2 linked regions of the Saccharomyces cerevisiae S288C genome follow. The protein of the gene in region 2 interacts with the protein of the main gene of each other region in a biochemical or structural test. Each region holds a gene or a part of one and is shown on either strand. Other genes may lie near its edges.

The links.
Region 1: the proteins of HAP4 (region 2) and HAP5 form a complex in vitro, tested with the Saccharomyces cerevisiae proteins (2 studies listed by BioGRID).

The regions. Positions count from the first base shown.
Region 1 is NC_001147.6:1,008,201-1,011,428, reverse strand, and holds HAP5 (Hap5p), read right to left. Parts: upstream 1,269-3,228; coding exon 540-1,268; downstream 1-539. Other genes in the region: VTS1 (Vts1p), read right to left, coding at 1-240; SNX3 (Snx3p), read left to right, coding at 1,717-2,205; CIR2 (electron-transferring-flavoprotein dehydrogenase), read right to left, coding at 2,313-3,228. UniProt on the Saccharomyces cerevisiae protein: Acts a component of the CCAT-binding factor, which is a transcriptional activator and binds to the upstream activation site (UAS2) of the CYC1 gene and other genes involved in mitochondrial electron transport and activates their expression.
Region 2 is NC_001143.9:230,535-234,292, reverse strand, and holds HAP4 (transcription factor HAP4), read right to left. Parts: upstream 2,067-3,758; coding exon 402-2,066; downstream 1-401.

The sequences.
Region 1 (3,228 bases), on a different chromosome or scaffold from region 2:
GTCTAGCATAAAGGATTGCTGATCAAGCATGTCATTGAGTGACATACTATGGGATTGAGGGGACAAAACATTCGCGGTCACGGATGAATTGCCCTGGTTATTGCCAGAATTGCTGCCCGGATTGTTCTTGTTTATGGCAGAAGATTGTGGTGATAGCAAAACGGCGCCTGGATGAGCTCCTCTAGACATGTTATATGGTGACTTGGAACCTGTGGGGAATTCCTCATACGGATGTTTCATGATTTCTTTGCTGACAATTACTTTATATGAACAGTTTTTCTCTTCTGAAAACAATATCTATAGTATATACAGTGATCTAGATTGCCCAAGGGACGAAGTACCAGTGTGACTGCAAAACACAATGTATTCGAGACAATCCTATGGTAGTAGTAGTAGTCGTTGTTAGATATCTCATCGCCAATTTGCTACCAAACTTATTCTGGAAAAAAATAATGAAAAAAATTTGCGTTTTTTCTTTTTCCAACAGATAATTTGCTGTGGTGCACGGTCAAATGGCAGCTGTATAACCATTAACTCTCTCATTGTGGAAGAGGTCTTCTAGGCACAACATCGATGAGAAAGTCAAACATGTCACTCTTTTGCAGGGCCTCTGCGATATCTGCCTTCTGCAAAGTTCGTCTTTTATTCCTTTCTGCCACGCACCAAGCTCTCATAGTCAGTTCTGTAATAAAGATCTCACAGGCTTTGGCGAAAATGATGGGGGCCTCTGCACTAATCATCTTGACATCTTCATCCGTCTTCATGACCTTGCGGATTCTCGCAAATGGTAAGGAATGTGATTTGAAGTCATCTTGATGCTCGGAACCAGGTTCATTCGTAGACTCGATCTCGTTGATTAATTCTTGCCAATAACGGATCATTATCTCCTTGTAGTGGCCCACCAATCCCTGACCAACGTTCCTAAACACATCATACTCTTCATCGTCCTCGTCCATTTCTCCGTCTGCGCCGTCGCTGTTTCCATTATCTTCGCCTTCAAGCGATCCTCGACCACTTGGCGGTAGATTAGCTTGGTCATGGCCCGCCTGGATAGCTTGCAACTCCTGTACCATCCGGAACTCTTCCTCAGAAACAGGTAGCCTCGTATTTTCCCCTTCCCCTTCGTTTTCTTGCAGTTGTTGCTGTTCTGAATATTGCCTTGGCATATTCATTTCCTCTCTCTGAATCATCGTACTGGGTTGCGGTCCCTCCGGGAGCGATTCTTGAGGTCCTTGTCCTTGTTGTGGTGAGAAATTCCTATCAGTCATTATGCGAGTAAACAATCCTGATGCTGCAAATGCGTCACAACTCTTACATTATCTCCTATTCCCCTCTATTCTTCTTCTTTGCTTACGCGGTATTATAGCAGCTAAGGAAGCTTAATCTCCGGAAGCAATCTTAAGGGAGCCGTCCCACGCAAATTTAAGTTTAACTACGGAAAAGGGAGCACAACACTCTTCGATTTTGACATTTCGGGATTTCTACACTCTAGTAAGTATTGCGCTAGGAGGGACCATGATTTACTATGAGGACTTGGCTATGGGGTGCTCAGAATTGCATAAGTGAACTCGAGGATAGCTTTGGGCACTATCACGTACTAAGTGATATGTATTGATATGTAAACCTGCAATGAATGAATGGATTAAAACGGATCTTAATACTGCATAAAAGAGGACGGCAAGAACAGCTGAGAAGCGGTACGCATCTACACAAAGTATGCCAAGAGAATTCAAATCCTTTGGGTCTACAGAAAAGTCTTTGCTGTCAAAAGGACATGGAGAGCCTAGTTACAGCGAAATATACGCTGAGCCTGAGAACTTTTTAGAGATTGAGGTGCACAACCCTAAAACTCATATACCAAATGGGATGGATTCGAAGGGGATGTTTACAGATTACGAAATAATATGCCGTACAAACTTGCCAAGTTTTCACAAGAGGGTATCGAAAGTAAGGAGACGATACTCAGACTTTGAATTCTTCCGCAAATGCTTGATCAAGGAAATTTCTATGCTTAATCACCCAAAAGTCATGGTACCTCATTTACCGGGTAAAATTCTCTTGAGTAATAGATTTAGTAACGAAGTCATTGAAGAGAGGAGACAAGGTTTGAATACCTGGATGCAATCGGTAGCCGGGCACCCGCTTTTACAATCTGGTTCTAAAGTTCTCGTGAGGTTCATTGAAGCTGAAAAGTTTGTCGGCTGAAAAGAACTCTTTTACGTGAATAAATAATATAGATTATATAAAAGAATGAATAGAAAAATTTAAATAAATAATGAATAAAATAATTAAATAAATAATGAATCCTGTGATTAAGTTAGCGTGTACTTTGGTCCATCTCCACCTTCGGGTACTTTCCAAGTAATATCTTGTCTGGGCGCCTTAATATCACAGGTCTTGCAATGGATACAATTTTGTGAATTGATTTGCAGTCTCGTACCCACAGGCGATTTTTCATCTTTGACGAATTCGTAGACACCTGCTGGGCAGAACCTCGATTCAACACCTTTCCAAACGGGAAAGCTTCTCTCGGCGTACTTTACCATATCTTGTCCAGGAACCCTCAAGTGACATGGTTCATCATCATCATGGTAGGTTCCGGTTCTAGACACGGAGGTCAATATATCAAAGGATATCACACCATCAGGCTTGGGGTATTCTATCGGTTTGTACTTGGAAGCAGGTTCCAAAATTTCACCGTCATTTTTTTCATCAAATTTCAGTGTCCACGGAACTTTTCCCTTCAATATCAAAGAATCGATTCCAGAGTAGATCATACCACCATATCCACCAAGTTTCCCGCTGAAGGACGGTCTAATATTACGCACTTCGTATAGTTCCTTATATATCGATGATTCTTTGAATGCACTTTCATATGATTCCAAGTTAATAGTTGCCTCCTTATCAAACATAGCCATTTTGGCGTCTTCGTCTTCAACCTCTTCTAAGACAGGTAACCCTTTTATGGACTCAAAGATACTTTCAGCGGCAAGTAATCCACTCTTCATCGCAGTATGAGTACCCTTGATCTTTGGAACGTTCATGAAACCCGCGCTAGCCCCTACCAAAACACCACCAGGGAAATTCAACTTGGGTACAGATTGCAGTCCACCTTCATTCAATGCTCTTGCAGCATAAGCGATACACTTACCTCCTTCTAAAACTTTTGAATAGTATGGATGATGTTTCATCTTTTGAAACTCTTTGTAAGGTGAAACATAGGGATTC
Region 2 (3,758 bases):
TATGTAAAAAGGAAGCAAAAAAAAAAAAAATGAAAGTAAACGGATATGTGAAAATGCTCTTAGGTAATTTGAATATAGTGTATGTATGAGAATAAATAACTAAGTACCAGAAACGGTATATAAATAAAAAAAAAATAATGGCCTTCCAGACCCATATTTGTTTTTCATTTTAACTTTTTTTTTATGATAAAGAAAGAAAAAAAAAATCATTAACATCATTAAAAAACAATCAAAGTTTTGTTTTTTTACTTTTTTTTTTTGGAATTTTTGTTGTTGAAGGAAAAGGACGCCTAAGCAGGCGAAGAATACTATCATTACCCATAATAAGAATTTTTTATTGTATAATATCATTTTGTTTTCGTGATTTTTAGTTGTTTTCGTTTTATTGCAACATGCCTATTTCAAAATACTTGTACCTTTAAAAAATCGACATCTTCGTCAAGGTCGTCGATGAAACTGCTTTGATCAAGTTCATTGGTGGCAGTTGCATCATTGTTGTTATCGTTTAAGTCATAAAGGTTAGCGTTCGACTTCGACGTAGAAATTTTTTTGGATTTCAGAACTTTGGTGTAGTCGTCATCAGTACCGGCACTACCGTCAATACCGGTATCGTTGGAAAACATGAAATTTTTAAAAGATCTGCCATTGTTACAGTCCTGCTCTTCCATCAACTCTTCTAGAGTTGGGGGCAAATAAGAAAACTTATTGTCAGCCAAAGTGATTTCTGAACCTAACTCGTCATGGTGATGCGAATCAGCGCTTTCATCCTGATCCTGAAGAAACAGATAGGTTTCATCGTTCTTTGCTTGGATGTTCGCCTTCTCAGAATTAGTATTTTTTTTCAAAGCACGTGATGAATCTTCTTGTTGTGAACTTGAACTTGGTAAATAATTCCAAATGTCTTCTTCATCTGGCTCAACCTTATCATCTTGCCCTGAAGATACGGTTTCCTCCAAAATTGGCAGATTCAATAAAGACATATTATCGTCATTGTCCACTTGTTGGTAATTGCCACTGTTCTTACCTGTTGTATCGTCCATAGACTGTAAGTAAGAATTCCAGAGATCATTATTTTCGTTAACGTCGTTATTCGTGTTGACTTTGGCATACTTATTGAAAAACTCAAGTTTCTCGAAATCGTTAAAGAATTTAATCTCGTTCAAATCCTCAATTTTGTCCTTAACTTGCAAATTAGTAGGCAAGGAGTGGTTTCTAATCAACGAGACTGAATCTGCTGGAGAGAAATCTGCTGGAGAATCAGGGAATGAAGCCTTATGAGGGATCTTATGAAAATTTAGGTTCATGTTCAAATCTTTTGTCAACTGTGGGACCGGAGTGGCCGATGAAGATGTGGAAGATAAGGACAATAAATCAAAGTCGTTCAACTTTGATTTTTTCGTGGGTGGTGCGTGAACATTTGAAGAAGAATCTATATGATGGTTTTTTGTTAGCAGACTGTTGTGAGCAGCAATGGTTTCCACATCGGTGCAGCTTTCATCGTCCATGAATTCTGATTTTTTTCTATTTCTATAACTTGAAAAAGATGGAGATGAATAAGATGGAGATGAAATGGAGGAGGCAGAAGAATGAAACTTTTCATTTTCCAAGTCATCGAACTTCAAAAATGCGAGGTAATTCGAGTCGTTTATTAGCTTTTCATCGATTGTCTGGATATGTCTTGGTATTTTCCTCTTTTCTTTGGAAGCTTGTTTCCTATTCGAAATGATGTTATTATTATTATTATTATTACTACTGTTCCTGCTGTTAGGGCCAACATTTAAAATATTATTGGTGTTGTTGGCAGGTAGAGTGTTGTGAGAAGATGATCTTCTACCAGGTCTTGGTCTTGGGGGCAAAACCCAATGTTTTGAAGTTCTAACCACCAAGCTAGACTTCTTCTTCTTTTTACTGCCATCGTTTTCGAATTCCAGCGAACTATTGTTATGATGGTTGGTATTTGGGGCGATCGGTACAGGCGCCAATGGAATATTATTATGCTCATTTTTAAAATGGTTACTACGAGGGCGACTAGCGGAGGCCTGTAGTAGAAAAGTCTTTGCGGTCATGATTCTTTTTTTGTTTTTTTTTTGTACTAGAAAATGTAGGTAAAACAAATCAGCAACCCATTAAAATGCTCTTTGATGTACTAGGAGACCAATAAATATGTGTGGAAAAAAAATAAAACTGTGTTTTTTCTCTTCCTATGCGTTTGATAATGATCTGCTCAAATAAATAATGACCCTTTTTTATTTTTCTGGTTCCTTTATAGTAGTATTTTTATATTATTAAGTGTAAAGTGGACCTGTAGATAGCATATACGATATAAAACTGGGGTTTAGAGAGGTGAAGGAATTAATAAAGGTAAAAAAATTAAAAGGAAAAAGGAGATGGACCTAAACAACCACACGGGGTTAAGCAAGAAGAAATTGATATAGGAGATTAGTTAATAGCTTTACAATATATATAATTTATCTAAAAACGATCTCATACTCAATAAATTTTTTTAGAGTAGTCTCGGAAAGAAAATAGCAATCCATTTACTTTTAGAACAATCTGCAAAATCGATACATGACACTTGGAAGCAACTGTGAAAAGGCTACGGCCATTGCTTACCGCGTGCAAGATCCGTAACATAAGAAAACTTTAGTCCTTGATGAAAGAAAATTTTCGTTTTTTTTTTCAGGTTCAGCGGGCTTAACCTCGTTTGCCGCCTCGGCCCCGCTCCGTTGTGCTGGCCATCTGTGCGCGGCGGGCTTCCCCCCCGTCGCTACTTCCGGATTAAACTTTTAGACTTCGGACCCCTGCCCCGGGGGGTTTCTCTGAACGCCGGGGTAGTGGTCCAAAGCCCACGAAACGCGTGTTCCTCTCAGCGGCATTGGAGTGAATAAAGCCCGCAGGACAGCCTTTTTTTTCCGGGCTGCACGACCGAATCAACTTGTCGCTCTATTCCTCCGTTGTTCCCGATTTGTAGCTCGGGGCCGACTCGCTTTTTGGCCAAGAAAATTGAGGAAAGCCCGTATTGCGGAGAAGGTTCTTATGTATTTGCCGTGCGATCAACCTCCGGGGCCCGGGTTTCAAATTCCGGCAATCATCCATGCCTAGTTTTGGAAATTCTCAGCAGAGGTTATCCCGTAAGGTGAAAAAAAGACATAAACGGTTTTTGCCTACAGTTTCCGGCAAAATAGTGATCTCATAGTACATCACTACTGCGAAGTCACCGGCCCGTACAGAAAAAGTATATCTTTAAATAGCGGCCCTACCTCTGCTTCTACCTACTTCATATTCGAATTCTTTTCTCGCCTTCCGCAGTGTTTCGCAAATCTGGACCTACGCACTAAATCATTTATGATTGTTCTCTCTTTCACGTGATAAGGTTTGCATTCTATTCGTTACCCTATTAATTATTACTATTTTTTTCAGCATGAGTTTTATTTCGCACATAAAATGCATCTATTTCTGGATATTACTGTAGTTTTCTTTGCTTTTCGCCTACCGCGCGGCGAAAAGTCGTATCAATCAATATGTGCCACTGCTATCATCCCTTGATAGAGTACAACGTAAAAGAGGCATTGTAGCATATTCACCCCGCTTGATAACTAGATTTTTTAGGCAAGAGTTGCGCACAGCGTACTGTGCACTACGGTATACAGAATTACACAATTGATACTTATTCTCTCCTTCATTGTTGCTCTGTTTCCGTTGTTTAAACTTTATCCAAAAACTCTGTTTTCTGTTTATTGAACCCCTTGCTTTCGCAA